Mytilus edulis: one gene and its partner. The protein of the gene in region 1 interacts with the protein of each later gene in a pairwise test. Links are inferred from orthologs where the notes say so. Each region holds a gene or a part of one and is shown on either strand. Other genes may lie near its edges. The genes, in order: neogenin-like and E3 ubiquitin-protein ligase TRIM9-like.

Region 1 (17,779 bases):
TTGTTAGGGTCAACATCTTACTTTAAATATGCAGAACAACATCTTTGTTCCACCTTAGACTTTGATGAGATATCTTTATAATAGAGGGCCCTCATGGGGTTTTTGATTATGTGATTACTTGGCCGTTTTTTTAATGATTATTTGATTATTAAGCCAAATATTTCATGATTATTTGATTACCTAGGACTGTATTTTTAGTTTATGATAATTTGATTACTAAAGATAAGCAAATATTTAATGATTATGTGATTATATTGGCAAAAAAATGGTGATTATGTGATTACTAGGACCCCCCCATGAGGGGCCTCATAATATATTCCAGTCAGACCTAAAATCATTAAGTCATCTAACATATCATTGCATGTAATTGATACATGTAAATTTGTTAAAGAAATTGACATTCTAATTTGAATGGCAATGCATGTCAGGATACATCTCTGGTATAATTTGCTTCAAGGATTCTTATTTTTGGAATTTTTAATTCAACATTTTCAAAACCCATTACATATGTTTGATTAAGAAAATAAATTCAAATTTCAAAGATAACAATGTACACAAGAGTGACAATGTGCATTTGAATCAACAGAAAAAAATACCCCATGCCTTTTTAATTTTCAAAATTTCAAACTGATATATATATATTATATATATTTACATGTGACCAGTGGCAGATGTAGAAATTTTCATAAGTGGGGGCAGGTCCACTGGCTGCCTCAGAAGGGGCCCGCTCCTGTAACACCTCAGTGATTCGCTAAAAAAAAAAATCTGAAAAGGGGGGGGGGGGACGACAAACAGAGATAAACATGAACTTTCAACGTATATATACACTTAGACCGAATAATGTGTCTCTTGTGTGGGTACATTTGTCATTTCATATTTTCTTTTCATCATTTCGCTATTTAATTTTTCAATTTAATTTTTTTTCACACCGTGTGACACAAAAAAATAATTTAAATAGCCAAATGATGAAAATAAAATATGAAATGACAAATGTTCCCACACAAGAGACAGATTATTTGGTCTAATATACACTGAGCTATGGTGGATTATACTAACAGGAATTTTAGGAGGCCCTGTAAATGTATAATGTAATTTTAGGAGGCCCTGTAAATGTACAATGTAATACACACAGAGATAATTTACTGTACTCTTTACACTGCCAAATGCAGCCTCTTGTAACCACAAGGCTGTTTGTATAGACAGCAATCTGAAACATTAACAGGTTCACTTCTGTTGTACTACCTGAACTAAGTTGTAAAACATCCCAATAAATATAATTACTCCATGTAAATTACTAAAACAGACAAGGGTAATTGTAATATGCCCAAAACTCCTAAAAATAGACACAAAATCTGCTTCACTGATCTCTATCAATAAACTGTTTGATTGCATTGTCTTGTATGCTGTTAATTAAAACATTTAAAACATCAAAAAGCTAAATGGTAAAAGATCAAAAGGCACTGTAAGAATTGCAACAAAAGTTGAAAAGAACAACAGAATATTGACCAGACAGAATATCATTTAAAGTCTGAATGGCAACAAGCTATCTAAAAGCTAGAGTTCTGCATCAATAGTAAAAATAAAAGAAATCTTTACAATGTTTCAAACGTTACAGTCCAGCTACAATGTAGCTAGCTATTGTTTCTTCAATTTTCACCTGAAACGGTCTTTGAAAACACCTTTAAACTAAATTAATCATAACTTAACAATTTAATACAAATTAATCAAATTAATATATGAATTGCAGATATAATCAAAGTTGCTTTTACCAGGCTTGTTAAAACATTCTAGACTGAAGAACAAAGAGTGCATGTAGACAACATGTGTATTTGTATTATGGCACCAAACAGTCTTAAATTTTTAGCACCTCATCTATTTGTATTATGGCACCGAACAGTCTTAAATTTCTAGCACCCCATCTATTTCTTCAATCTAATAATAATTAAAGGTCTCTCAAACTATATATTACATCACATTTAATGCCTGGATTGACACAGTCAGATCATTACCATAAACCAATTAGTGTAATTACAGTAATGACAAACACCCTACAGGAGAAACTTGCAGGGAATCACTATAAACCCAATCTAAAGATCAATGAGTTTTATATCCCTTATCATGTAAATATTGACACAAGACAATTGACTTGTATTTCTAAATATTGACATTTCTGCCTGCTTATTATACAATAATTCTGTAATTTATTGGTCTGTGGAAAGATAGACCTTGTTCAAGTGCAATTTATTTGAAAATTGATTGTGGTCCGGTTTTAAACATATTTTACTTCCTGTTGCCAATTTCAGGAATTTTTAAAGCTTCAGATTCACTTGTTCTTTTGCACATGAATTTTACATGTATATAAAGGAGCAACCATTCAACTTAAAGGGGGTTATGGTTTTTAATCCGAGTCAGAAAATCTTTTAGGGTCAATTTTTCAAAATTAAAGGAGACCTTAAAATTAGTCTACAGTCAGACTACATACATTGTACATGTACAGTCCAACCTTTATATGGTACTATCAATTAATTAATTATTGTGAGGTTTTTATTATTGTGAAAATGCGACAGAGTTGCAAACGCAATAATTTAATCTCGCATTTTGAAATATTCTATATGAATTAAACAGCATTTTTCTCAAAACAGTAAAAGTAAAAATTAAAATCGCATTTTAGGTTAAAATGGCAAAATCACATTAATAAATGCATGCAATAATTTCTGAATTTACAGTAAATATCATAAAACACCAGCATGACCAGTAATATAAACAGCAACATTATGTACATTAACAAATTTTAATTAGGAAAACACAAAGTATAAATCAAGGTAAGGTCAGTGGGGCCATAATAAATAATAGGTTTGTTTGCCCAAACGCTACCTTCCCAGAAAAAAGCTGCCTACTCAAATTCTTTTATTGTCCTGATTTGAAGAAGGTTTTTTTTAATCAAATAGGCATGAAGACTAGTTAATAAACATCTGATACTTCAATTTCTTTTTAAAAAAATTGCCTACCTACCTACCCACTGTCTCAACCTTTGGGTAGGGTTTAGGCAAACCAAAATATTTTTAAGTGTGGCCTGGCGGATCCAGGGGCCAGGAGGAGGGTTCTAGGGGTTGGAACCCCCCACTTCTTTTTTGGACGATCAATGCATTTGAATGGGGACATATAGTTGGAACCCCCCTTTTTAAAATGGCTGGATCGGCCCCTGACGGTAGTATCACTGCCAATGTCAGAGACGACTACTCGCCAGACAGATGATAGCCAAAATACAACATGTGGGTTCCCAAACAACTTTAACAATGGGCAAAGCTCATTCTGCATGTGGTGCATAAAATACAATTCTGATTCACTTAAAATTAAAGTCTTTTTTCCCCAATCACAAATGGATGGAATCACAGTAAATGGAAGTAATTCAAATGATTCCCTGTGTTTCTCTCCGACTTCCTAAAACATGTTACTGTTTAAAGGTTAAAAACTTGTCCACCCCACCACTGGTTACTAAACTTTCGCTGTTTCCTTTTCAATACAACCATCTTATACTTTTAACTACATTTATACCACTTTATTTACAATAATCTTTAAGTGAGAAATACAAGATGTACTTCTTATAAAACTGAATCAATTAAAATTTGATTAGTCTCTTAGGCACCAACTGCAAAATCGTCTTTTATGAAAGCTTGATTATCTATCAATTATTCATATTGCACAAACATGGAATTACGCTATAGAATCTCCTTACTATTAAGGCATGTTAAAATGACATTCTTTCCAATAAGACTTGCCTTGCATTGAAGTACAAAATAATCATGTCTCTTGGGAGAATGTTAAATACGGTTTTTCTTGTATACTAAATTACATTCAACAGATCTAATATAAGAGGTTCTCATTTGGGAGAATTTTTTGTTTATTTTAGAGGCTCAGATTTGAAGTTATTACATACATGTATACAAATACAATATATACATTGTACATGTAACAGGCTGTTATTTGAACTTGGAATTATTTTTAATTATGGAATTTGCATAATTTCTTGTGTTTAAAATTTTTCATAAATTCCATGTTATATTTGGCATTATGATCTTTCGACAGTAAATAACACTTTCCACACAATGTATTTTGGTTAGATAGTGTTGTGCGCAGCACAGTACATTCTATTGAAAAATACTATTTTCTTTGTAATAGAAAGTGTTATGCGCATGACAGAATATTTCAGTACAGAATAAACGTGGAATTTATTGAAAATTTCAATAACAAAGAAATCAAGCAAATTCCATAATTAAAAATAATTACAAGTCCAAATAATAGTCTGTTATGTATATAAACTAAAAATTTTAATTAGTTATAATTTCATCAAAAATTGAACTTGAGCTGTAACTTGTCATGATAAAAACAATATACCAAATTTCAAATCAATATCTTTAAGCATAAAGAAAGAAAGTCCAGAAAACTGATTTGAAAACAGACTGACATACAGACAGTGTAAACCTAAAGTCCCCTTCGACTTGTCAGTAGGGGGGTCGGGACTAATAACTATCATATCAATGCAATGCCTAATTCACATTTAAATATGCAGACACAACCAGAGCTTTAACATGTTTAAGCAGGAAGCAGCATGGTATGGTGCTATTTGAATAGATGTTATATACATATTTTAACATGTTCTTTAAAACTCATGCTACATTTGTACAGGTACATAACTTAAAATCAAGCATATAATGCTTCATATTTTTTTTACATGTACTCAGAATTCTTACTAAGACAAGTCCATGAATTCTGGACTCTGGAAGATCTATCTGGCCTTTTTTTTTTTAAATGTACATCAGAATTGAAAAGCACAATTTATAAACATTTTTTAAACAAAAGTTTACCAATAACTAAAACTTGATATCATCCTTGCTCTATATTATACATGTATAGCTATTTTATCATGGTGACTACTCCTAAAATAATAAATTATGTAACACTTAAATTTCATTGTCTCACTGATAAAATTGCCATGGCCAATAATGAAGAGTCACTGGACTTGCCTTCGAAATTTCTTGCATACTTCCATTCCCATGATGCTGCTTTAAAACAGTGGGAGAAAATGTTCCCTGGTACATTTTTGTCGTGCATTACATGGTACATGTACTTCAATCTATTTTATGTTAGCAATGATTACTAGATTGATTGGTTGATTGTTAGGTTACTTATAACATACAGTGGCAAATATTTTAGGAGGACAATAAAAGTTTTGGCATTAGTACATGTATAGCAAAAAGAAATAAACTAGCCAGAGGTGACGCCACTGTTGAATAGGACAGGAACATATATATGCATCTGTTTTCATTTTCATAGTGGTTTATATCTATTTGTCATGAGTGGGACAAGTTGGCTTACCTGATAATTATTTCTGCGGGATTTGAACCCTCTACAAAAGTGCGTTGACTTGGAAAACAAGAGTGGGGTGATTATATATAATTATTTTAAAAGTGGAGTGAGTTGGTGAAAAAGTGGGACCATTTGTCTGTGGGGTGATTTGCCATGGATTCATCATTTTTCACAAGTGGGGCGATTTGGTGTAGGGCAATTTGTCCTGCTTCCACTTGGGCCTACATGTACATAAGGGAGACAGGAAGATACCCAGGATGATATGGGGGTATCGGGATAATAACTTGGGCGACCCGATATTTTTTTATCTTTGAAGCCTTACATCCCGGGAAAGCATCAAAGCAAAGCAAAAATTAAAATAGCTCTCCAAGACGTTATAATTATTTGGACTAGGAAAAGGACATGTTACTGTATTTATAAATCTGTATTTCCCACGCTTACAAAATGTACATGGACCTCTTTTTTAGAGAGATTTTAGCTGTCACATTTTATCAACTATTAAACATGTACACCTGGATGTCTACTAAAATAAAATGATTTGTTTGCCTTTTAAAGTAGCAATTTACGGTGATTTATAGCACTACCTTGCCGTCATCAAGTTTGAAATTAGTTTTTCGAGACAGACTTTCAAACTTCTTTTCAAAATTATAATTAACAGACAACTCCTCATGCTAACGTACTATTTTCAATCTGGTTAGTTTAAAAAAATTATCATACTGTTAAATTTACAGATATGTATGTCTTCTTTAAGAAATCTTAATGTGAAACTTAAAACAAACCTTTCAAATCTCTTTCTGAAGTTCGACAACACAATAACAAAAAGTTTAACCTAATCACACAGCGTATCCAAACTTGTAGAGCAAATTCTTTGCTTCTTCTCTGATAAAGTTATGAAATATGATTCTTAAACACAATAAAGCTCCAATTTACGACTCTTAATGAACTAAAAACAGTTAAAATTCCAATGAGAAGCCTTTCTTTACCCGTACGCCATGTTGGTTTCTTTCACAATGAGAACGATTGGGTGAAAGGTGAAGTCCGCCATATAAGGAACTCATTTGCATATATACAGATGTCGCTTTTTCGCGCACTTGTTTAAAAACTCGCAAGAAAACATGAGGATTTGTATAGTAATACTATATATACAAATCCTTGATGTCATTTATGGCAAAACAGTAAATATGCAATCCTTTGATATTTATTTTTTTTATTATTTTAAATGCATAATAAGAGTTGATATGATCTATAATTCCTCTCTTTTTAGGCTCTGACGGAGATGTAATACAATATTATGATGTTACGAGGGTCTTGAATGATCACATCCTTGGATGGTCAAACAAGTTAATGAAAAGACAAAAAACTGAAAGCCCCCCTTTTAAAGACAAAAATATAGCAGAGAATTATAGGTGTAAAATTTGAGGAATAAATCTGGAAAATAAATACTTAAATTTATATATATAAGTTGCTATTGGCTTTCAACTTGTTCTCTCAGAGCTGTTCTTCGTTGTTTTTTTGTTGTTGTTGTCGTTGTTTGTTTTACTTGCTTTGTTACGATTCGATAGTCGATACCTTTCTAACTGATTTTTTTTATGATGTTTAGGCCCCAGGGGCGGATGCAGGAATTTTCGAAAGGGGGGTGCTAACCCAGGGCAAAAGGGGGGGGTGCAAAACATATGTCCCGATACAAATGCATTGATCGGCAAAAATAAAGGGGGGGTGCGCACCCCCGGAACCAATGGATCCGCCACTGGGCCCTGCAAATATATGCACGTTTAACCCCGCTACGTCAGGGCCTATTATGAATTTAGTGTTTATCCTTTTATCATGGCGTCTCCCCGAGCTAAGCAATCAATTTACCATATATACCAGTATGTCTATATATGTTCCTGCACATTCGAATTATACATTGTATTCTTGTATACTGTATATTGGTTGTTTTAACCTAATCAGTATTACTGTATTTGTCATTAACCACTGGGATAGCTTTGCGATATTGGATCACTCTTTTTAGTCTTGACCATGCAGTGGACTAATGAAGTATACCTTTTATAAAATGCCACAACTACCCATAGTACATTATTCAATAGCATTGTTATTGAAGTTTTCCACTTTTGAACCCATGATGCATTTTGTCTGTATCAGATAGGTATGTAGACAACTCTTACTCCAGTGTTGTCAAACATGGTTCGATTTCCATTATATAACCTTAGTAAAAGTGAACATATATATAAAGTAAATACCAATCATCCAAAAACATCTAAGCTTGGTTGACTGATGGACAAGCTTTCATCAGTATCAACAATGTCCACAAACAAGATAAGATATTATAGCGTTTTACGAAATATCTATACTACTAAAATAACGAGGTCCAATTTGTTAGCTATATAGCATGACGTAAAAAGACGAATTAAAGAATTCAACTGTATATATAACTACATGGTTTAAGACATGGGTCCTTAAATCTGTCTGAGACGATGTCGCGGGTACCACCAAAAACATTGAAGCCTTGTTGGCTGATGGACAAGCTTATACATAAGTATCAACAAAGTGCAAACTGATAGTTATATCCGTAATAAGGTTAGTAGATATAAGAAGGTGTGGTTTGAGTGCCAATGAGAATGAGGCAGATCTCCATCCAATTCACAATTTATAAAAGTGAACCATTATATGTCAAAGTATATATACGGTCTTCAAAACGGATCCTTAAGTCACACCGAACAGCCCCAACAATGACTTAGTGGTTACAAACTAAAACTGAGGGAGACACATCAAATATAGAACTACGGCACAACAGAAACACAACACCAAAATTTAACACACACAGAAACGAACTTTTATATAACAATGGCCATGCTTGTTCCTGACTTGGTACAGGACATTTTAAGAAAATGGTGGGTTGAACTTGGTTTTGTGGATAGCCACCCCCACCCCCCGTTTTAATGGCAATGTTAAATATAACATTAAAATTACAACATTATTACATGACAGGACTACAATAAAAATGAATCGGAGAACATATAGGACAGAGAAACACGAATAATATATGAGGAGACCATGCAAACGGGAAAACCAACGGCCTTATCTATATAAAAAAATAGAGAAACATGCATGTACGAACCACGTCAACAATGGTCGGCCGCCAACAATATGCAACTACTAAACATGGAGTGTATTAGAGAGCAGCGAGAGCAGTAGTCATTATAAAAGATAATTTTACAATTTTGCATTTAATGGAGAGAATCAGTAATTTCAACACTGCATGCTGGTAGGAACATACAACACGTGACATGGAATTTTGAACTACCAACCTGCTTATGCTTTGTTTGTGTTTTGTTGTTGTTGTCAATATCTTACCACGTCTAGTCTGTGTTTTTTTTAAATTTTTTTTTTTCTGCTTTATATCGATTTGATGAGATAAATCTTTTTAACTGGTTTGTATATAGTTTGTTCTTCGTGATTTTGTACTGTTACACCAATGCCCAAGGTTTAGAGAGGGTTGGCGTTTTCAAACAACAACTACCCATAAGATAAAGTAGATTATTGAATAACAGTGTTTTCCAATTTTTAACCTATAGTGCATTTTGTCTGTATCGGATCGAGATGTAGACATCTCGTACATCAGTGTTGTCAAATAAGGTTCGATTTCCTATAACCTTAGTAAAAGTAAACAAATAAAGTAAATACTAATCATCAAAAACATCAGAGCTTAGTTGTCTGATGGACAAGCTTACATAAGTATCAACCTCTGTACAAGGAAGATAAGATATAATAGCTATTTCTGAAATATCTATACTACTATAAAATAACGAGGTCCAATTTGTTAGCCGGCATGACCTAAAACGATGAATCAAAGATTTCAACTTTTATATAATAGTATAGGACATAGCAGGAACATATATATTGACATACAGTTTCCAGGACATAGATGTACACGAAATCAGTCACAGACCATCGATGTCGCGGGTATCACCAAAAAACATCGCGGCTGTATTAACTGATGGACAAGCTTACATATATAAGTACCAACCAAGTGCAAAAGGAAGATAAGATATTATAGTAACTTATTTCCGAAATAAGCTTATTGAAGAAAAAGATTTCCTAGAGTTTGATTGTATCAGTAAGATGTGATAAAGAGAGAGCAGTAATCACTGTAAAAGTTAATTGATACAATTTAGCATTTTGTTAAAAGAACAATTATTTTCAACACTGCATGCAAGTATAGGAACATGCGACACGTGACATGGAATTTATAACTAACATGCTGCTTATTCTTTGTTTGTATTTTTTGTCAATAATATACCCAAACCAGGTCTGTGTTTTTGTTAGATGTTTTTTTCCTGCTTTGTATCGATTTGATGAGTTAAGCACTTAATTTTATTGAATTGTATAGTTTGTTCTTATGTTGATCGCTAATGCTACACCACTGTGCCAGGTTTGGAGAGGATTGGCGCTTTTAAACATGTTTAACCTCGACGCATTCGATGTGCATGTCCAAAGTAAGGAGTCTGTAGTTCAGTAGTTGATGTTGGCTCTTGTCTGCCATATTTAGTTTTCGTAAAATGTTTTTTTTTATAAATAAGACCGTTACTTTTCTAGTTTAAATTGTTTTATATTTTTCATGTCAGGGCCTTTCAAAAACGACTATTTGGTATATGTATTTTACTCATTGTTGAAGGCCGTACGATTGCTTATAATTGCTTACATCCACTTTATTAAACTGTGTTGAATAGTTGTTTTCATTGGCAACACTATCAACCAAATGTCCTTTTTTTATATCAATGTGTAAACCCTCCAAAGAATACGTGTGTTTCTCACTTAGCAGTTACTGTTTCACTATATTGATTAAAATTGAGAATGGAAATGGGGAATGTGCCAAAGAGACAACAACCCGACCATAGAAAAAAAAAAACAACAGAAGGTCACCAACAGGTCTTCAATGTAGCGAGAAATTCCCGCACCCGGAGGAGTCCTTCAACTGGCCCCTCAACAAATATATACTAGTTCAGTGATAATGAACGCCATACTAATTTCCAAATTGTACACAAGAAACTAAAATTAAAATAATACAAGACTAACAAAGGCCAGAGGCTCCTGACTTGGGACAGGCGCAAAAATGCGGCGGGGTTAAACATGTTTGTGAGATCTCAACCCTCCCCCTATACCTCTAGCCAATGTAGAAAAGTAAACGCATAACAATACGTACATTAAAATTCCGTTCAAGAGAAGTCCGAGTCTGATGTCAGAAGATGTAACCAAAGAAAATAAACAAAATGACAATAATACATAAATAACAACAGACTACTAGCATATAGAATACTTGCAACTCCCCTCTGGAAAACACAATACAAAATGCATCACCCATGCAGATATCTAAGGATTCGAATATTCACAAATCCCTTCTGGAAAACACAATACACAATGCATCACCCCATGCACGTATCTTTAGATTATAATACTTGCACATCTTCCCTGGAAAACACAATACCCAATGCATCCTCCGTGCACGTATATGTGTTGCATTCAAATTAAAGCTTAAAGACATCAAGTCTACTAAACATATCGTAAAGATGGTGTGTCTGATTGGTTATATTTCATTAAACAGTTAACGAGATGAATTGTTGACATAGCTAACGTATAATCAAGTAATACTGCGTGTCAAATTAGCCGAATATATTGATAACCTTTTACTCGAACGTGCTAATGCGCGTGCCGTTCTCTCATCATTGCTTTATCTCCAGGCTGATCGACTCCAGTAAGCAGAATAAAAATTAGTTTTGATTTCAATTTCAATCTCAGGATAGTGATAATGATGTGAATCATCACTCTGTAAACCTGCTACGAAGATGCAGTTTTAGTTTATTTGATAATTACCGCTGTGAAATGATAATCAACATTGAGTGGCTTTAACAATATATGAAAATATGTACTTAATAAATGTGTACTGTGGGGTCGCAAGTTTAATATACCATTGGACACTCTATCAAGCTTTGAAAAGTGAACTGACGGAGGGGTAAAAGTTCGATATCTCTCTCCAATATTTTAACACTTATAATACTAAAGAACTGAACACTGTTATACCTATACTTAGGTGGGTTTACGGTGACATGTAGTTGTTAATTTCTGTGTCATTCTGGTCTCTTGTGGAGAGTTGTCTCATTGGCAATCATACCACATCTTCTTTTTTATATTTACGTATATATGTCCTAACATAAAACTTACGTATTTATTTTAATTACTTAAAGTTAAATTGTTTGCTGAATTGTTTTTTGAGGGGTTAAAATTTACCGTATATATAAAAAAAAAACGATAAAGTTTTTGTATTTATAGAGAGACAAAGGGAGGGGTATTTAAACACGTAAAACTGCGTTTACCCCCCTTTTTACCACCACCACCACCACCACATGGTGTGCCTTTAACTACATTTGCATCATGTTCTGATCGTAATGGTATGTATACGTTTGTATGCGAATATAAAAATAGGAAAATTTGGTATGTTTGTCAATGACACAATTTTCCACAAGGGAACAACTGAATGACACAGAAGTTAACAACTATATATATATATATATAGGTCACCGTACGGTCTTCATCCATACCAAATAAGTTTGTACGGACCGGGAATCTGATATCGATCTATCGTATCATGTATATCAGTAAAACGAAATCAGAGATCTATATTGTGATAACCAACCTGGTTCGGACGGGTGTTGGTTTTGCATTGTGTGGTCTTTTATATCATTATTTAAAACTTTTGGTTATTCCTGTTATCCTGATTACGTATAATAAGAATATTAAGAGAGGGCACTGCACTAGAGGAACCATTTAAGAGTTTCATATTACCAGACCCATGGACATAATCTAAGCAATTTCAAACTAAGCACCTTATGCATGGATGAGTGTGACATTAAGCTATGTTTGTTTCGGTTGCCCACATTTTTGACAATATAACGGAACTATATATAACAAAACCTTTAAACCGATTTATTAGAAAGGGATATAGTTACGATACGGTTGCCATGTCATTAAAGATTGCATATTTTGGCTGTAATATTGATTCACTTATAGGGTCTTTGCATCAGAATTAAACACATTAACTCTAAAACCAGTTGTTGGCATGATTCTGACATCGGATTCCTACTTCTTTAAAACGATTTTTACTGTGCGTATTGTTGTGCGTTTTTTTTCTTTCTTTTCTACATAGGCTAGAGGTTTAAAGGGGAGGTTTGAGATCTAAAAAATCATGTTAAATTCCGCCGCAATTTTGCGCCTGCCTCAAGTGAGAAAGATTATGTCTTCATCATATGAATATCAGACACAATCCCTCCTGTTAGGGGTTTAGTATTATACCATCATGAAATATATGATCACATGTAGGCGCTTGGGTACATGATGTAGATATAACTTTTTTTGTTGTTGAATAAAATATTCAATTTTCTATATTTATACTACATATCTATCACTTCTGTGCATGTCTCACCTAGTTTCGAGTGATTTAATCGACTCAGAGAAAAATCCCAATTTTACTATCCATACTAAGAAAGCCAATCTCTAATGACATGACAACAGTATCGTAACTATATCCCTATAAGTCTGTTTAAAGGTTTTGTTAGCTCATATGTAGATTTTATGGATTTATTAAAGTAAAACTAGTAAATAACAATTATTAGGACTCGGAACCGCGATGGTTCTCCGAACCGCGATGGTCATGCTGAAGTGCGATGGTGCACGCTGAGGTGCGATGGTGCACGCTGAGGTGCGATGGTTTTACACGCTGAAGTGCGATGGTGGTATTGTGACGTTAACTTTGTTGATAGCTACGCTGAAGTTCGATGGGGGTTACGCTGAAGTGCGATGGTCTGTCTGTTCCATGGAGTATAACAGCAAAATAGACATGGGCTGCTGAAATTAAATACAAAAAAAAAAATGTACCATTTAACTTCCAAAAAGGGGGGGGGGGGGGGTGAATTCTTATCTAAGTAAGAAATATTTTTCACTCAAAGCGGTAACATTTTTTTTTGTTTTTTCGACGCTTTAACAAAATAATCATATTAAAATTTAACACTATTAAGTATCAGGAAAAACAGAAGTAGGGGTTCAGAAAATATATGGTGTCGAAGGGCAAAATAAAAAAGATAATGAACGTGTAGGTCTATATAATAGTACTAAGCAGGGTCCATCTCATTATATCAAATGTTATGACAAAACTTAGAAATTGCTCACAACAATTATTCATCAATTTACATATACCTGATGTCGGAAAAGTGTCCACGAAGTTAAAAAAAACACCGCCAAATACATTAATGCTTGACTAAATAATAGCGAGACTTGTTAATTATTTCACAGTTTTCAAACTTAGTTGAGAACGCTAAATTGGGAAGTACACGTATATATAGGGACCATTCATGTTATTTTGGCATGTTACAATTGACACTGTAACCAAAATAAAATAAGACTGCAGCGAATGTGTTCTTACAAGTCAGGATTTATCTTTGAAATAAAACAACATAATATCAACTTCATATGACAAAAGCATTGCTAATACATGTTCTAGCAGTTTATTATTTTTTTTTCTTTATCAAATTGTCTACATAAAATCATGTGAAGCTTACTTAAAGATAAATCAAAATTAATTTTTAGATCAAAATACTTTATTTATCGTTCGAAAAGTTTGCGGCATAATTCTGAACAATGTTAAGCCCATTTGCTGATCAAGTTCATCTTTCAGCCGCTTTGCGCCCCATGATTTGCCTCCACATGAATTGCTCATAAACCTTCATCTACAAACCTATCATCCTGCATGCGGATTCATGTTGTATTTGAAAACATCGCAATATCCAAACGTCATGTAAACCATCGCACCTCAGCGAAAGGACCATCGCACTTCGGCGTGGACCATCGCACTTCAGCGTGACCATCGCACTTCAGCGTCCCCATCGCACCTCCGAGTTCTACATGTATAGAAACGTTAGGAGCAATATGTTCAAAGGACACAAAAAGACTATAGCTTACCTGAGGAAGTTCGAACCTTAGTTCCTTATAGTAATATATGATGGCCGATTTCACTACGAATATATATGCTAAGCTTTTATTCCAGTTCTGGTTTGTATATGCAAAGAATGACAACTCGTGTTTTCCTACAAAGTGTGCTGTATTTTAGAGGACCTGGGGCCTGGTTTTCGAAAGTATCTTATGACTAAGACATGTCTTATGATGGTCTTAGGACATGTCATAGTCGTAAGATATGTTTTCGAAAGTGTCCTAAGTTACGATTTGTCATAAATTTTGTCGTAAACTTAAGACCTCTCGCGACATGACTTATGATAGTCTTATGATTGTCAGCTAAAATTTTAATTACTTTTCATGACTTTTTTGGCATAATTTCATATTAATTGTAATAAAAATATGTGTTGCGTTTCTCGGTTAGCTAAATAGTAAAGAGTTTATTACTACGTGAATTAAAATTTGAATCTCCTGCGACATACAATTTGGAATTATTTTCTAACTTATGGTTTTGTACAATAGATAATCATATTATTTCGTTCCTTGTATATTTAATAGTACTATATTTACGTATGTGCGCGGGCATTTCGTTAAGCGGGTACTCGATGTACCGAATCTAAAAAGTATTCACAGTTAAATAACAATGCATGTATGATAATGATGATACACGAAAGCGAAGTTCAAGATTAAACATATATTACAAACTAAATTTAAACAAATTATGAACTCATATTTCAATTCCTTTTAGTATAAAATTTCAGGTTCATTATAATGAAAAAATAAAATATTCGTAAATATTAAGAATAGTAATAACTAATATGTTCATACATACATTTTCATTCTTATATTTTATACTTTTAAAACATTATTTAAAATAATAGAAAATAATGTTCACTTAAGACAGTCATAAGAGCATCATAGCTATGACTCTCTTAAGACAGCTTTGATTTACATCCTATGACATATCATATGATAGTCATAAGATGATCATAAAATATGTCCTAAGATATATCTTATGACATATCTTATGATACTTTCGAAAACCAGGCCCCTGATGTATATATATTTGGCTAAATCCTTTCATTTCTGATATGTGAGTAGCATTTTGGTTTGTAAAAAACTGAAAGGAAAATTATTTAACAGGGGATATCTACTACATACCATATACAATCGTATAACTGTACTGAAAAAAACCTAATGTTATATTAATGCAAATCAAAATCTCCATAGTTTGTTTTTGACAATGAGAGACTTTTACAAAAAAACAGCGGCTTAAGCATGCAAGGAGTAATTGATAGATTTTACCTAAATCAAATCGAAACGTGGATCATATCTTCTTAAGATTGGAAAAAGAAAGGAGTAGGTCCAGTAAGACCCCTTTTTGGCCCCAAAATATAGCAGTTTTACAAAATTGTTAAAATGTAAACTTTTAGTTATTTATTGGACAGTAGAATGCTTCTGCTACATAAATATGGGCTGTTTTTGACAATATAATGCACATATATCCGGTACTAGCACCATTAAGTCATGCTAAATTACTGATATCTTCACAATTCTAGCAATTTAGTTAAATTTTAGAAGGTTTCCGTGTAAAACGAAAGTGGCCGCATTCGTGTTCATCCTAAATATTGAAATGTAAGTTGTATTTGATGATAATACATAACATATATAAAGGTTGAGGATGAACACGGATGCGGCCACTTTCATTTTTGACAAAAACCAAGTGACATTTTTCGGCAGATTTGGTAGATTGTTCATAAATCGGATCGTTTTTAATGACTTAATTAGTTAAAATCTTTCACACAAATTAATTGAATCAAAGGAAATAGACACTAAAGTGTTTGGAAAATGGTCAAAATCTTTCGTCAGATCAAGGAGGTTATATTATAATATAACCTCCTTGGTCAGATGAACCTGAAATTTGGGACCAAAATCGGTCCTAACCGGACCTACTCCTTTCGTCAGTTGGAAGATATATTTGGTCATAATCGCAACAGATATTATTGGGGTTCGACTAAGAACTTGGTTCTGAAGAATTTAGCAAGATAAACTGAAACGACACTGTAACAGTACCTTTTTGAAGTCATGCTTGCTTGCTAGTTCGCTGATTTGCTAATAATGACAACTTTTGTTGAAGGAAAGTTCTATTGTCATTGACCCGAAGCTATTCTAGATACAGATATGCAAGCTGAAGTAATGTTAAAATTCTGGGTTTGCAATCGAAATAGACGATTTTCATAATACCAACTGTTATCTCCGGAGAATGTATATTTTTTGGACAATTAATACGAGCCGTAAAAGTAAGAATAAATAACTTTTTAAAAGATTAGAGCGAAGTAAAATCGATTAAAGTCAGTGCAATTTCGGAAGAAAAAAAATCCTTTTCGACGATTTTGTTTTGCATAGAAATCATAAAAATAGTTTATAAGATTAAAACTTGAAGCATACATGAATAAAATTACCACCAAACAGTAGACTTGCTACAGTCGTTACATCATTTTAATTGTATGACGAGACCTCACTGCTGTGGTAATTCTCCTGTATTAAGACAGTAAAGTTACGTGAAAACACATGAATAACAGCCGAACATAACATAGAACAAGGACAATGATATGGTGACTGGTTAAGACCATTTCGCGTTTTTGCCTTTCATATTCTATAGGGCGAAAACACGAAGTCGAAAACACGAAAACGTTTCGCGAAGTCGAAAACGAGAAGTCGACTTCGCGTTTTCGCGTTTTCGACTTCGCTTTTCGCGTTTTCGCATTTTCGCGATTTCGCCTTTTCGCGTTTTTACGATATACATGTTATTATAACATAACATTTTAATATAATTGGAGACAAGACTACAAAGTATAAGTCATTCAAATGATTGTCATATAAATTTCATTATGTGTGGTTTACTTTAAATATTTTCATAAATTAGACAATTCCTTTACATTTTTTGTTTAAAATACTTTTAATAAGTCATTATCTTTTTAAAAGTGTCAAATTTATAAGTTAAACCACAATGCAAATTATAGGCGGTTTTGTTGTTGTAATTATATTTTGTTTATATACATCTATTGTTTACATGTGTATATTACACCCTGTATAACCCCGATACAGATGGAACCGGACGTTGACGCGTTCGAATCGAACACACCATGTAACACTGAGTTCAGACAGTAAGGAATTCATACTTTAAAAGACAATCCAATGTCTATTCTTCGGATATTTTGCTCCAATATATTCTTTGCCATAATACTCATTAGTTACTAAAAGCTTTTTCAAAAATGTGACATTTTTATATACAAACATCAAAAAACGCACGACGATATCAATGATAAAACGTGCTTGGTACTTTTAAACATTCGAAACTTAATGTTTCTCGTACCTCATAGTTTTTAAAACATACATTTTTGAAAACTTT
Region 2 (17,682 bases), on another chromosome or scaffold:
CCTAAACGGGTCAACTGACCATTTTGGTCATGTTGACTTATTTGTAGATCTTACTTTGTTGAACATTATTGCTGTTTACAGTTTATCTCTATCTATAATAATATTCAAGATAATAACCAAAAACAGCAAAATTTCCTCAAAATTACCAATTCAGGGGCAGCAACCCAACAACCGATTGACCGATTCATCTGAAAATTTCAGGGCAGATAGATCTTGACCTGATAAACATTTTTATCCCATGTCAGATTTCCTCAAAATGCTTTGGTTTTTGAGTTATAAGCCAAAAACTGCATTTTACCCCTTTGTTCTATTTTTAGCCGTGACGGCCATCTTGGTTGGTTGACCAGGTCACGCCACACATTTTTTAAACAAGATACCCCAAAGATGATTGTGGCCAAGTTTGGATTAATTTGGCCCAGTAGTTTCAGAGGAGAAGATTTTTGTAAAAGATTACTTTAATTAACGAAAAATGGTTAAAAATTGACTATAAAGGGCAATAACTCCTAAACGGGTCAACTGACCATTTTGGTCATGTTGACTTATTTGTAGATCTTACTTTGCTGAACATTATTGCTGTTTACAATTTATCTCTATCTATAATAATATTCAAGATAATAACCAAAAACAGCAAAATTTCCTCAAAATTACCAATTCAGGGGCAGCAACCCAACAACCGATTGACCGATTCATCTGAAAATTTCAGGGCAGATAGATCTTGACCTGATAAACATTTTTACCCCATGTCAGATTTGCTCTAAATGCTTTGGTTTTTGAGTTATAAGCCAAAAACTGCATTTTACCCCTATGTTCTATTTTTAGCCGTGGCGGCCATCTTGGTTGGTTGACCGGGTCACGCCACACATTTTTTAAACTAGATACCCCAATTATGATTGTGGCCAAGTTTGGTTTGATTTGGCCCAGTAGTTTCAGAGGAGAAGATTTTTGTAAAAGTTAACGACGACGGACGACGACGGACGACGACGGACGACGGACGACGACGACGACGACGGACGCCGGACGCCAAGTGATGAGAAAAGCTCACTTGGCCCTTCGGGCCAGGTGAGCTAATAAAAAGGGAAGAATAGATAAAAGTATGAGATTATTGATTCCATCATCACCATTGGAAAAGAGCATGTGTCTGCTGATCAAAACTGTCATAACAAAAATAACACGTTCCAACCTTAGATCTTAGCTGCAACTTCAAAAGCTTGTTTTATGAAACTTTGAATACCGATACTAATTATACAATTGGTTCATATTTTCACATAATATTTTAAGATTTTTAAATCATATGTTTACCTGATGACATCTTCTCTGGCAAGTTCTGGTACATATCTCTGTAACTGTTTCACTGTGGCACCAATATAAAACCCACGATACATTTCTTTTAGACCGAAAGCTAAATTTTTAAATGCAAGCTTTCTCAAACCTCTGAAATAAGATGGAATGAATACAATAAAATAAAATTAATAAATATTTTTGTATTATATTCATTAATACATGACAGGTCTACTACATACAATCAAGGAAAGAAGTAACTTACTTAATACAAATAATTATATTTCTTGGAACGAAGGAGTCTTTCTGTAATTCTTCAAATGAGGAAGATTGTGTCATTTTAACAAACCCATATTGTCACTTAAAATTTTCTGGAAAACATACAATCTTTAATATGGAAATAGTTAAGCTTTATATGTTTTGCCATCATGACTTTTGTTTTGTTTTTAATTATTTTTTTCCTCAATTCAAGAAATATTGTCTTGTCTGTCTCTTTTTAAATGTTTAAATGGTGTTTTCTTATTTCAATTTGATATTTTTTTAACATTTCTTGTCTTGTAAATACCTACCTAAAACTTAAAGCATCAAATGTATCTTTCAAATTAAAATCTGTTAAATTATATCCTTCTCGTTTAAATGACAACACAGCATTTGGACCTAACCACACATCTCCATTCATTCTAGGTGTATAATGGACTCCAAGGAAAGGAAATCTGGGGTCTGGTACCTAAAAATTAAGATTATTGATAAGTAATATAAAAAGAAATAACAAAAAACATCATCTACTAAATCTGTTCTAGAAATGAATGTACATGTATATGTTTTGTAGTATTTTAGGGTTTAAAAGTGTTGAATATAGAACATTTTTATACAAAGACTAACAGACATTCCATTTGCCTAATTTATTTCTTATAAATAAATTTGGTGTATTTACTGTCTTCTGATTGGTTAAAAGTATTACTTTTATTTTCAATGTTGTCAATTTTTATGGCGACCACTCACTCTGACGTTGTGTATTCATACGTCAACATGTGTGTACATTGTTATTGTTAATATAAATAATATAAAAAGTTCTTTGAGCCTTATTTTTGATAGAAATTTATTTATAATGAAAACCAATAACTAATAAATAAACTCACATTTTACATAATCTGCTTAGTGGATTATTCAATGTGAAGAGTCAAAAATTAATTTTATGGTTCAATAAATTTAAAATAAATAATAGCCATTCATTAATTAACAGCATTTCCTACTTATTTTCATAAAAAACAATATTTCTAATTAAAAGTAACATTGAAATAATATTAAGACATATAGATATTCATAATGTTAGAATTAATTTACATACAGGATATATATTGCCTCTAACAAGATCACATTTTTCGTGTTTCAGTAAAAGGTAATCTCCCCTGAATGGGACTATTCTCGGTTCTCTATTACACCCTGACAGCTCTGCCAGTCTGTCGGAATGTAGTCCTCCACATGTCACCACATATCTACACTGCACAGCCTAAAAATTATATACAAATTTGTAATTTAAATAAAATAAAACTGTAGATGCAGGGAAATTAATTATCACTTTTGATATTACAGTAAGATTTTTGTTTGACTATTTACATCATATGAAATCAGAGATCATTCAAAAATATATGTATGAACACCAAATTTTTAGACATGCTTCAATTATTCCAGGGATAAATTTTGAAAATCTTTTGATCGAGTGTTTTTAATAAAAATACTCAAAATGTGCATTAGGTCCCATGAATAAGAATATTTTAAAAGTTTCTTTTTTTAAGTGTTTTTCACAAGGTAGTAATTGTGCCTTTTTCTCAATGATATCTTGAAGACTGTTCATTTCTTAAAACTTATAAAGTCTTTCCTGAAATCTACAATTCTTATGTATTTACCTAAATTTAATATTTCATTTAGGCTTTTCGTTAATTATTGTGATCACATTTGTATACTGCAGTCCTAAAATGTTCTGTCCATGAAATAATTGCTGCAGTCTCTTTTCTTACTATTGTAGTGGTGATTCCTTATTTGTGAATATCAAAATGATAGTTATAAAATTAATACAAATCATTCTGCATACTAAACATAAGAAATCAGAAATAACATAAAAATTCTAAAAAAATATGAAGTCTATTTTATATACTTACTTGGTTGTCTCCCCTTACAGTAACAGGATGTTTTATGCCACTTGATGATTCTGGTGAACTTTCCTTTGTAACATCCAACGATTTCACTTCGAAGTTAGTATAGATTTTTCCACCAGCTTTCTCAAATGTTCGACCATAAGATCTTGTTACTTCTGCATAATCAATGATCCCTGTATGAGGAGAGTGTATGGCTTTCAATCCCTAAAAAATATATCTCATTTAATAGGTTTTAACAATACTTAATGCAATGTCCAATATTTCATAGAAAACATTTCTTTTTATACAGAATTAGAATTGCCAGGTGAGTGTGGCTATTACACAATACCATAGCTAAGAAATTTTGAGTAAAATGGTGTTTCCCCTTTGTTTATTTGTGTAGCCCTCCAATCTTAATAGAGAGGGATAGGACCTTTATCAGGACTCCCGAGATGTGGTGTTTTTAAGCTCAGGATTTCGGGATCCAGAATTATTTTTTTTGAATTTCAAGATGTTGGGATTTAAATTCGGGACCTCGGTATTTCATGTTTTAAAGCCTGGGATTTCAGGATCTGAAACCCTCCTACCACCACTTTAATATAAAGAGGATGCTGTTATTACTCTCAATGTAAATCAAATTATCGTCTCATTAATATTAAAATGCAAATTCAATTGAAAAGATGGGCTTTCTATGAAATGCCAAGTTTTTAACATTCTAGCACAAATTTCTCCTTTCTGCTGGTAGCAATCAGTCTTTATTTCTTTAATCTGCGTAATGATATATATTATGGGAATATATTTCGTTATCTTTCAGTTTTTGTGTTAGCTGATAAATGATTTGGAATTACATTAATCTATCAAATGTTGAAATTTTTATACATCATCAGGGATCTCCATGGCCTGTTTAACGATGGAGCCCCGCCATCGTTCAAATGTCTTGCGCCATCGTCAAATGACTCGCGCCATCGTTAAATTGTCTTGCGCCATCGTTAAATTGTCTTCCGCCATCGTTCAAAACTTCATCGTTTTTTGTAGCCCGACGCCATTTTTTTATCAATTATAATCAAATGCATGTAATTGCATAACCCTTAGGCTTTTTATGTTATAATCCAATACAGTTCTAACGCCTGAGGGATATCCGGATTAAGATCGCTAATTACTTGTACCTGAGCTTGTACAGGTAGATCAACAAACCAGACAGGAGAATACTATCTGAGGATAGACGATCCATTTGTCGAAGTAATCAACTAAGTTTCAGCAAATGATTATGATCATTTAGATTAAATAAATAAATTAATAAATTAATCCAGTTACAAAGAAAGCAGTTTAACAAGTCGAACACGTGCTTTATTTTGAATTACGCAATCAGCATCCCCCTTTTTTAACCCTTAGACTGCTACGCGCGACTATTGTCGTTCCGATAAGACAGTCCGCTACTGCTACTCGCGACTATAGTCGTTTTCCGTAACTCGTTTGTTTACACAGTTACCATGGAATGGGCGGAGTCAATATTCATGAGATTGCGGCAGTTTCGACTTGTATGGATTCTGATTGGTTAAAAATCTGCGTTCTTTCGAATGTCTCTTGACTTTTAATGAGGTATAAGCGATAAACCGAAAGTGAAAATTTTTGATGAAAAAAGTGACAAAATGGCGGACATTATTTGGAGAAATGGCCAACACGTTCAGAAGTATTTCAATGATAACGATTCAACAGCGGCAGCCGATTAAAATGATTTGAACGAGAACCGAAGATATAATAGACAGAAATAGAAACATTCTATCAAAACTGCAAACAGGAGACTTTTAAAGCGAGAATTACGGGGATTCCCAGACCTTGTTCAAAATGGATGACATGAAACGGGATTTGCGATGTTTATCATTTCGCCTTTCAAATGTGAATCAATATTGACTCACATCAATAGACCCGAACTTTAAGTTTGTCAAGATTATATATTGATGAAAGCTTTAACAATGAACTTGTCGTATAAATATATTTGTACATGGAAGTAAAAGTCGGCGCAGTGAAAGTTGGAGGGAAATACCGGAAAATATTTGCATAAAAAAGGCCGTTGGTCTGAGAAGAAACTTTTATTTTTTGATAATCACAATGGAACTTAGTTCTTAAAAGAGATTTTTAACTATATTGGTTCAGTTCTGAAGTCATGGATACTTTTACATTGATGGATTCCTTAATAAAACATGAAAACATAAGTTTACCTTTGTTTTCCTCTATTCACACCTGTACAGGTAAAAAATGACCAGAGACTCACACAAAAATAAAATAAATAAAAAATACAGAATCTAACAATACTTTATTATATAACTTTTATTGATGAATATTCAATATTTACAAAGATACAGCAATTGTAAGTGAACATGTTTATTTCATCAGTGATTAAAATTTTACTCAGCATTACACAAAAGTACAATAGAAATCAATGCAGCAGTCTAAGGGTTAAGAAGTACAAAATAAGACGCAAAACAGTAAATATTATTTCATCGCAAATAACTCGAGTACTGCTGTAACGATAATTTAGAATTACTTTAAAAGTTTAAATGTGAAAACTTTTATATTTCCTGTAAAGAAATATTGTATCTAAATTCCGAATTCATTTCGTATATTACAATCAAATTGATACATCCGCGTTTCCGGTTTCTATTCAGACTCGAAAGATGCATGTTGCACAGCATCAATTTTTCCAGATAAAGTCATTAAAAACCTTTTCATTTGTCAACGTTTGCTTTACAAATCTCTTTAACCTTTTACATAACCCGTACAAATTGTTTTGTTATTGCTGCAAATCAGCCATACCGGTAATGGGCTCTGAATTTGACAGTGTCCACGAAAAATAAGCTCCACATCAGATGATTTTTAACCCCCATAACAATTACCAAAAATAAAAGAAATCTGCATGGGGACCTTCATGACAGCTTTTGGTCATTCTCGACTAAGGGGGGACCATGAAGACTTGGCATTTGAATGGTTAAAAACGGCAATAAATGAAAATATTGATACTTCTAATTCTATAATGAAAATTCAAATAAATATAATTTAAATAAGCAATGAATTAGCATGTTCACCATTCCTTGTATGGAGGGATAAAATACTTCCGATCGCGCTACACTGTACAGCGTAGACAAGGTTTGTAATGGTGAAAGTTCCTCCATGGTTCAATTTTCATCCATGGAGATCCCTGCATCATCATGATTATTGCGATACATGTGGGGTTAAAGTTTCATGGTTTTGTTTCTAAATTGATGTTATGTGGATTACTTTTCAATTGTAGGTTTAAAATTTGCTTAGTGTTTAGTTTAGTTGATATTGTTACAGCTAGTATTAACTACATGTAGATCAATTTAATTAAATCATGGGCATAACAAAGATACAATGTAAATGCATGCACAGTTTCCTTGGTATTCAATGATCAAGCTCCTGCTGGAACCCTACATTAAATGCATCATCTTTTGCATTAACCTTTCAAAAAAAATTTGATCATTATACTCACTACACTGTTTGGTTCATATTCTTGTATTTCATGGGATTCAACCATCTTTAAATCCTTGACCCCATTTTCAATCCCTCTTTTCAATAAGCCCTCAAGTCTTGGGATTTCTTCTGGTGTGACTGCCACAATCAGCTAATAATATAAATTACAACAAAATTTATCATTTTAAGGTAGGAGTTAAAAATTCATACATCTATTCTTATCTTTAGCACTTAGTTTTGGATAATATATGTAGATAGATAGATATATACTTTATTCTCTTAAAAACTAGATACAAGTTTACAGAGAAACATACAATATAAATACAGACACAATAGTTAAGAATCTAAGAATGTAAGAATCTCAAATGCATTTAACTTTGATCAAGTTCAAAATTTAAAAATATTTTGGTAAAAGCAAGGATATGTATAGTAAAATATACAAATCCTTGGTAAAAGTTTGTCTATTTTTTTAGTTGTTAGGTTGTTCTTTCATTCATGTATCCTTTAACTCAGTCATTTATATATTTGAAGCTAACATATATCTGTAAATGCCTTCTCCTTTCACAGTAAATGATGAATGTGCAGTTTTGCAAATTAGAGTTTGAGTGATGGAGTCTGGGCATTCCCTGTCTTGTATTTCAAAAACATTAAATTTTGTATATTTCATTTACCTAATTATAAAAGTCACCCTTTAATTTTTTTTCTGCAACGCATATGCTCCAAAGCAGATCTTTGAGTAAAATACAATAGATATAACATATATTCTCACCCAGTATAAGCCATTATAAGCCAAAATTAAAACCTTGCAATTGCAATAATTTCTGAATGTTCAGCAGATATAAAAGAGTTACCCACCTTACCACACTTCTTGTATGGAACATTATTTTCATCACAGTATTTATATAGAAGTTCTACCCCCTCAACACATAGCTTGGCCTTCAGACTACCAGGTGTATAGTATATACCAGCATGTATCACTCCACTGTTATGTCCACTCTGGTGAGGGGCTACAATATATCAAAACAATATGAAATTGCTCGACTGTATGTAAATTCATAATTGAAGGAAGAACACTGATAGGTTAGAAGATCTTTAATAGTCAAATAAAAGAATGCGCTTTGGGGTCATGATCCACTAAAGCACTTCTAGAGGTTAGCAACTGTTGAAATATCTGATAAAGAAAATTTCCCTTCTGGAGCACCTGAGATTCCCACTGTTATTTTGTTGTTTTTTGCCATGGCATTGTTAGTTTGTTTTTGACTTATGAGCTTAGATATCCCTTTGGTATCTTTCACCTGTCTTTGACATTTTTGGATATATCTGATATAGAAGGTTTAAAGGATGGTACCAGTAAAAGTAGGTAGTAAATAACTTACATATTTTGGATTCCTTTTCCAGGACCGCAACTGACAAATTTGGATGACGTACCAGTATTTCTCTTGCTGTTGCCATACCAACAATACCACCTCCAACAATAACAATGTCATAACTGTCTTGTGTGGAACTGAATAAATAAAACAGTACAGTCATTTCAAAAATACTACAGATATTTTAATTCTCATTTTTATTTAAAAAAAAAAGTAGCCTTAAATAGCTACAAAATGTATAGTGTATCAAAGAGGTTATCTAACATGCATAAAGGTCTTCAAATATATAATAGACTTCCTGTCTGTTAACTTCTTTAGACCTATCATAGATTGAATCCTAATTTGGCATAATAGATTTTCAAAGAGTTCAAACAATTGTACTAAGATCGAAGATTGTTATTATTATTCAACAAGAATTAGTGAATATAGCTAATACCACCTATAGTATAGTATTAAAGGGCAACATACTTTAACATTCAATATAATGCTATAAAGGATTAGAACTGGTTGCCAAATTATAAAATAGAGTAACAAAAAATTCTTGAATCTCAAATCTTTTCAGACAAAGGAAAGCAATGATTTTACTAGCATTTTTTTTTATTGGATGCTTGAGTGTTCTAGTCAACTTCATCGTCATTTACAAATGTATAATTTACTAAGCATAAATACAGGTAGTAAAAAATCCACCAAAGTCATGATTTCTAATAACAATAATATTTATAAAATGGACCATAAATGGATCTCATTGAAAAAGGCAGAGAGGCTTTCATGGGCAATACAGATTAGGTACACATGTATTAACAATTGCTTTGTATTATTTTTGCAATGCTTAAGTTGATATTTAATCAAATAAATTCATATATCTAAAATATATACAAAAGGTTTATGAAAAATATAAATAATGTCAGAAATGCTTGCATGATTGATTTAGTTAGAGTTTCACTCCATTGTCTTAATTATAAGCAAAACCTAGTAAGCTAAGTCTGGACAGCAATGTCTATCTTTTAATCACATTGTAATCTAAAAAATCTAATCATTATTTATTCACACTCAAATGGTCGACATATTTATATTCAATGTATATGTGTATACCACAAATTATTCGGTCTATTAAACAGGATAAAATGCTAAAATATTTACATCATAATTTACAGTTGAAAGTCATCTACATGTATCATGTCTATATGGTATACACAAATGTTTCAGTTTAAATTCAAAAAAAAATTTGGAGGAAGGGGGTTGGGGGTGTTAAAACAGTGTAATTAAAAAAAAAGACACTAAAAAGTCATTACAGGACTGAAGTGCCATAAAAGTTTAAACTATAACCAATTGTGTTGAATTTTTATAAACCAACTAATGATCAACTGCAATTAAAAAACTTTTCTAAAAAATCTTGTATTAATTTATAGTATATATGTATCAAATTTCTTGTCGCTTAAAATTTACTTTTTTTTTCTTGTCACTTTCAAAAAGGAAGACTGGAGCTTGCAGGAGGGTAGTGATGCCCTTTAACGTCAGGTGTCAAACAGTCATTTTCGGCTACTGTTAGCATCAAATTGCCATTATTGGTTTAAATTTTATTGTGATTCGTCAAAATATCCTTATCGTGAATTATCTTTACCATCATTTTTGGAAAAAAATTAATGTGATTCATCAAAATCTATCATTGTTATTAATGTCTTAAACTGTATATTTTATCGTCATTCACCAAACATTAAAGTTTACGTCATTTGGCAAGAATTTTTACCGTTATTCGTCATGAAGGTACCCCCATTATGACCCTCTTGCAGGCATCATAGCCAAACAAAAAAAAAAGCCTTTCAAGACATAACTATTGTTGGACCAACACTGGAAATGCCTGTCCTTCATCAGCTCACTGATATAAAACATATTTTAATTGTTATGTTGTTTAGGGAGCAACAATCATGATTTTTGTTGTTGAACTGATTCTTTTGATTGCAAAACAATTACTGAAACAAAGATGAAAGGTCAATTCAGCAACATTTACATAAGGCCTTATTTATCAGTTGGGTTGTCTTTCTTTACACTCTTGTCCTACACGGTTCCTTGTACTTATGAACATTTTTTGTTGGTATTTAGTTCTGTCACACCAACATGTTATGTGCATCACATTTGCAACTGAAAATAAGAACAAACCTTGATGAAAAACGATGATTTGTAAAATCAGTAATCTGTGGGTTTAAATATTGTATTGAGACATGCTGTCTTTTCTTACAAACTGGTAAAAGATTGAAAAGTTTTCTGGTGATCCTGGAGGCTGCCATTGTTGTTGTTATTTTCTCTCGCAACATCTCGTGACCCACGAGACAACAGTTGATAACAACCGCTTCCTTTGAAACGGCTTTGCACTTCATACAGGTGCGATTATGGATGAGGAACTAAAATGTCCTGAGTGTAGAAAATTTTATTCAAAGCCCGTCTTTTTCCCATGTTCTCACTCTGTTTGTTTAGAGTGTGCTGGAAATATGCAGGAGTCTTCACAGGAATTTATGTCTCAATTTGAGGATAGTTCTTTGTTACAAATTTTAGGGGATACCGATCTTCTTAAAGATTATGATAAATTAAGTTTAGTTAGTGAAACTGACAGTGGAGTTGTATGTAATAGTAGACCTAGTAGCTACATTGGAAGTGGAAATATTTTACCCTCAGTGCAGGGAAGTTCTTATATTGTGAGGTGTCCTGTATGTAAAAAACCTGTATTTTTAGATGAAAGTGGATATAAATCTCTACCTAAAAATACTATTCTTGAGGCTATTGTGGAAAAATATTGCAATGAATGTAAACAATTACAAAATCATACAAGTAAATGTCAAATGTGTGAACAAACTGATAATTCTGAAGCTAAAGATGCATGTAGTATGTGTGAACAATGTGAAATATTTTATTGTGATACATGTAAAGATGTTTGCCACCCTTCGAGGGGACCTTTGGCAAAACATAATATGGTGGGACCAATTCAAGGGAGAGCTATATTACGGGCCAAAAATAAAGCAAGTGAGGCAAAATGTATAGAACATGAAGAAGAGCATTTAAGCATGTATTGTTTATTTTGTAAACTGCCTGTTTGTTATGTCTGTCGACAAGAGGGACGTCATGTTGATCATGATGTCCAGGCCCTTGGGGTTATGTCAAAAACTCACAAGGTAAGAGAAACATAAGTAAAAACATCCTTTAAGTCATGTAAACTACACATTAACAGAACATAAATGTCAAGATATAAGTATCCAGCATGTGTTTCTTGTTTGTAAACAACTTCATTTTTGAAGTGATACACAGATTTTCTTTTCTTTTTTGATAAACAATTTATAAATTTATTGTTTGCCATAAATCATTGTAGAATTTTAAGAAGTATTATTTACAAAGGTCCCACATGGTTATCATGACAAAAACACAATAAATTGAGAAAATAATTGGTACATGTATAATGTAAATATATTGTTGTAGATTTAAAATTAAACCAATTTAAAGCCAATATTTAACAAAAATAAAGGGTTATTATACATTGTTTATATAGACATGTATATATATATATATATATATACATTATATATATACATGACTGTGTTATTTTGTATTTAACAATAGATTACACAGTTACTTTAAAAAACACAAAGAAATTTCAAGTTTAAATTATATTTCTATTTGAACAATATATTAATAAAGCCACAAAAATTCTTTGTAGATACATTGTATACATTGTAAGCCTGAAAAATTATATAAATTTTTCAAATTTATTAAAAGACTCAAACAGAATACTCTGCAATGAATTCAGGAATTTATGTAATTCTAAATCAATAAATTCTTCATAATATTATTCATTGATGTCAAATCTATTTCATACATGCAAAATCGTTTATGAATTAAGTGTTAATTGTTATTTGCTATGAAACAGCATGAGTTGTGAATTCTGACACAAGTATCTGTTAATTTAAAATAAGCAAACTGTCAACATACACAGTAGGCATCATGTGATCCTAATTAAGCCTACTTTGTGATAATGCTGACGATAATTAAGATAAATATTTTCATCTCTATATATATATAATGTGCACAATAAATTCTATTAAAACAAAAGCTTTCCCTATAATTAACATTACATTACGAGGATTTTGTCTCTGTTATGTACAGTTTGCATTTTTGTAAGATTATTAGTAATTATATTAAAGCTGGTAGGTGTCACTGAAAATTATAGGGTTTTACTGCTTTTTAACAGCATTTCTGTCGATAAAATTTGAATTTTCAACATTTCATAACTTCCATTTAAGAATTGAAGATAAAAGTAAAACTGAACATTCAATTTAATTTGTTTTCTTGTGTGGGAAAATTTTATCCTATTTCTTCAGTTTAAAGAATACTTATTCATGAAGGGCAATTTGAAAAGAAATTCAATTCATAAAGAAAAGAATAAAATGAAGATTATCGTAAACCACATTAGAAAATTCCTTTATCACATTTTCTGTCATGGTCCATTGGATGGGTTTGAAAAATTCTGACCAGCAGTGACCATTATCTATTATCATCTGATAAATTACATCCATTATTCAACATGCGTATTGAGTCTATTGACATGTCACATTAAACCCATATCTTGCAAATATGCAAATTATTCAAATTTGACGAATTAATTTGTAATTTGATAGTATGATAACTAGTGAAGCGAAGATTAAATTCCCAGTAGATGATGACCATAACAACAAAGAAAGAAATTGAACTATCAAAATGAAAAATGATGGGCTTCAGCAAACTTTCTCACATATATTAATCTATGACAAAAGACAAACACTAGCTAATGTTACGATAACGTCAATTTTCTCACAAATATTAATCTGTGACAAAAGATGTACACCAGCCGATGTAACGATAACGTCATTTACAATCACTGGCGACTGAGGTCTCGTCAATTTTAAGATGTTTAATCAAAATCGATTCACATGGTTTTGGGTTTTGAATGTTCAAACAAGTTTAGTGTAATACTTAAGGATGTGTACACAATGAGTCATTGTTTATAGTAGCTTAAAATTGCATTTAAATTTGTAAATAGAAAATCAGGAATCAATGAGCAGTCATAATCACATGAATTTTTTATAAGTTATTAGCTGGTGACACATTGTTTCATTTGATATTTGATATTTTGAGGTTAAGTGGATCATCTCTGCATAGTGTTATCTGTTAATAGCGGTGGTAGCTCTTTAATGCAGTTAGCTTCTGCATCAACACCTTTTTCAGTGATGATTAACGAGATTACTGATATTTTATTAGATTTCTTGACTTTGAATCTTTGCAAAGCTTTTAAGTCTCTAATATCTTGGATTAAAGTTTAATTATTAATGCAACTGTTTAGTCATGTTAGTTATTGTTATTTGAACTTTGAAAGTTATATATTTTTTTAAAAGATTAGGGTAAGAGCTTCAAATTATACATTGTATAACAGTCATATAGGATTGACTTTTGTTTTGTTTAAATACTTTTTTTTACGTAGCAGTTTATGAAATGTATATAGTGTTCAGATTTTTGTCAAAATACAATAAAACTGCTTTAAAAGATATGAAAAAAGATGATTGACTAAATTTATGACATGGTTTTTACCGTTATTGTTAAATTCAAAAAGACAGGTACATTTTTTAAGAAAAAACACCTGTGCACTTAACCAGCTCACCTGTGAAAACCTCCAATGTCAAAGAACAGGAAATGCCCTCTTTGTAAAGATATTACTTTACCTAAAACAAATTTAATAAACCTTGGATAAAAGTGGAAATAGAATGTAAATCTTCTGACAACTAATTTTGGTTTGATATTATGATCTCAATACCTCAAGTACAGCTATCTTAAATCAAAATCTTATCAGAATTTAATTTCTTGAACAAATATTAATTTCCCAAACTTATATAATATAAATTTAGTTAAGATGATAACGTGGTGTTTATGATAATTTAAAAATGTGAAACACATTGTTATACTGTAGGCAATTACTTGCTATCTTTTAATTTGCTAAAATGAAAAGTGCTGCACTCACATTATCTTTTATAAAGTGTTACATTGTAGATAAGAATTGAATGTGCATGGCAGGCATTTTTCATACTACAACGTAAATTTGAGGTGTCCTTGGGAAGATTTAATCCATCTGGGGAATATACTTTGCCTTGTTGCAAAATTGCAGTTTAGGCCCCTGTCAGTTTTTGCTTTGTTTTGAAAGCCTCACTCTTACTTGGAGATGGAGAACAGCAATAAGAGGGTAAAAACCAAATTGTTTCTTCAAGGTGAAAAAACAGCAATATAAGACATTATAAGCTCTGTTCCTTGATGATGAGTCTTGGACACTTTTGATTAGGACTTATCAAAGTACATTTTTGTAACTTCAAATTTACGATTGGTAAAAGGCTGCGAATCATCTTTGGTCTCAAAAAAGGGTTCTTGACTTCATAGCAAATATCCCTTTGTGATATTTAAGTCAAGGTCACTTTGTCAGACTATTTTGTGTAGCAATTGCCTTATTGCACAACGCCGTACATGTTGATGGTCAGTTTTAAGAGGTCAGCATGGCACAGCCATACAATGTATTTATAGTGTTTAGTTGCTGTTTTAAACGGTCCTGTGTCTTTCAATTCCATTCACCCTTCTTCATCAGCATATAATCTCTGAAGTACAAAAAAATGTATGGATCTAGTATTGAAAAAGTGATATATATTTCTATTTTCTTGTCTATCAAATTGTCGTATTTGTAATCATATACATTGTACATTGATATGAAACAGAATTTTCACCTAACAAGCTTGACATTCTTCCTTACAACTAACATGACTAATTGGCGACTGCTATATATCTGATGTAAACGTAATACCTAAGCTTAACAAAGGACAATTCTAGTTACAAGCAGTGACTTTAAATTCTAGGTTACGCCTTCTGTAACTTAACTCTCTTTTACACCTTCAAATGTAAAAATGTACCATTGCCGACAATGTAAGAATTAAAAACTCATTCTAGTCATTAGAATAACTCATTTGTTACTGATTTTCTTTTGTATACAAACATTTTGTACGGTATTTTAGCTTCTGTAATATTCATTAACATTACGATTGCATTACATTTTCTTTCAGTTCTTTTATTTAGTTAACTTTACTTTGAATTTTAAAGAGAAAAAGGAAAGAGGTTTATTTGAACTCTTTTAAGCGGTTTTGGTGTACATGGTCTATGTGAAAGTTTTAATTTCGCTAAGAAAATTGTTAAATAAGCAGATATGTTAAGGGTACAAGTATAATATATCAGTTAGAAATGAAAGTTTTTTCATGTCATTCAGGTTTTCTATTCAATGTAAAGTTGTTTTTTCTTATCATTAACGGTATTAATTCAGTACTATAAAAGTTGTTGATCTAAGTGCTATTTACACTACATTTGTATGTTGTGTTTTGTCCACAATCTTGAAACAAAATCTTGATATTATACATTGGATTTTGATTAAATTTCTTCAAAAGATTTCTTGATGTTGTATAACATGAGTTTGCCACAATCTTTCCACATTGAATACATAAAAGTGTAGCATCCTTAAATCTCTGGCAGTGGCAGGTGGCAGATCCAGAACTTTTCATAAACAGTGGCGGATCCAGGAATTTTCATAAGTGGGGGCCCAATGACTTCCTAAGAGGGGGCCCACTCCTGCCACGCTTCAGTGATTCTCTATATAAGCAACCAAATTTTTCCCAAAAAGGGGGGCCTTGGCCCTCTGGCCCCCCCTAAATCCGCCTCTGATAAAAGGGGGGGAGCACTCCAGTCATGCTTCAGTGATTCCCTATTTAATTAACCAAATTTTTCACCTCCACCCTGGATCCACCTACATTTGTATGTCTAGTTGTACATTTTGTGTTTGCACACTTACAGTTGAAGTCTGAATTTGAAACAGGATTTCCTTTTGAAGATTTTTTTATATATGAAATTTTCTGATCCTTTGTCAATTTCTCTCACCAAAAGCAAAATACTTATTTTGAATCTTGCTGCTAAATGCAAAATTATGAAATTAAACATGTAAGTGATCTTTAATGTATCCTCAAATAGTTTCATAAAGTGTTAGAAATAAGCAGCTGTCTACATTGTAATCACATACCAATATACATGTAGAAGCAACCAGTGACCTTCACCTCCATTTATTTATTTTGTACATGTACACTTAATTTCATTTTTAAGACAAATAATACTCTTTGAACAGAAGTAAAGAAAATATAACATCACATTTGTTCTGTCATAGAAGTACTGGTGGTCCATAATCAGAACAGGAAGTTGATAAATGTCTCTTGGTTACAATACATTATTTTCTTTGTCTAGTTCTAGGCAGTAGTATATATTTTATTGTAAGACATAAAAGTTCGTTACATAATAACAATACTAGATGATGTGTTAGTCCAGACGAGTTATAATGAAATCTCAGCTGTCAGATCTTAATATAATTGTCAATGATGTATAATGTATATATTCTCAGTAATTATTTGCCATTTCTGGTATATTTGAAGCAGTCATACAATTCAGCTGATGATAAATTTCTAATGGTAATAATGTTTATAACATTATTGGTCTTGGAATTTCCAGATCAAATTGATGATTCTTGCATGTTATTACTCTCAATTTTATTCTGTTATCAAAGTCATTTTCTGATTTGCTTTTTTGACAGAAAACCCATATAATGTCTCTCCTATCTTCATGATCTTAGGGTGAACATTTAGTTTATGTAATTGCTTTGATCTTTTAAAGTGCAGAATCAACCTAAAAAATTGCTTTATCATTTGACTTATATTTCATGTATTTGGAATAGTAATTTATACTTTTAAATTTTTAGTCTTTTCTGATGTTTCTCTAAAACTTTTATTTTATTTTTTTAAATCTTATTTTTTCTATGCTTTTTTGCTTTCACTAGGTTTATTAATCAGACCCATGTAGGTAAATGATACTGGCCATGGTAATAATTAATTATTATTTACAATGTATATATTTCTATGATGAGTTTGACTGACAAGTGTTTTGGTGATGTAAATTGCAAGGTGTTGAGGGAATTTCTAGATTTACAATATCATCTGAAATAGCCAATAATTACTTATCAAGATGGACAGCTGGTCAGCTGCATATTGTAGGTGTAGGAAAAATATATCAATAAGTATTTGATTGCCCCTGATGATTTTTGTCTTGCATCTCTACATATTAGTTCCAATATTTTCCATCAATTGTAACTTTGTAAGTCTTCTGTTAAAATTTGAATAAGACAATAAGTTATACATGTATAAGAATATTGCAAACTTCTTAATACAATGTATTATATTCTTAATATTTAAGGCCGCCTTTTTATATAGTATTCTAAGAAATCTATTGATTTTTTCCTCTTTGAACAGTATTTTTGTTTTTTCACCAAATTT

The links.
Region 2: the proteins of neogenin-like (region 1) and E3 ubiquitin-protein ligase TRIM9-like interact in a two-hybrid assay, tested with the Caenorhabditis elegans proteins (2 studies listed by BioGRID). The link is inferred for Mytilus edulis from reciprocal best matches to the Caenorhabditis elegans genes unc-40 and madd-2.

Annotation. Positions count from the first base shown.
Region 1 is NC_092354.1:43,718,535-43,736,313, forward strand, and holds the start of neogenin-like, read right to left. Parts: upstream 6,389-17,779; 5' UTR 6,147-6,388; intron 1-6,146.
Region 2 is NC_092346.1:44,157,279-44,174,960, forward strand, and holds the start of E3 ubiquitin-protein ligase TRIM9-like, read left to right. Parts: upstream 1-10,581; 5' UTR 10,582-10,656; coding exon 10,657-11,433; intron 11,434-17,682. Other genes in the region: L-2-hydroxyglutarate dehydrogenase, mitochondrial-like, read right to left, coding at 1,300-1,431, 1,848-2,005, 2,627-2,788, 3,438-3,638, 6,922-7,053, 7,758-7,909, 8,279-8,406, 10,427-10,581.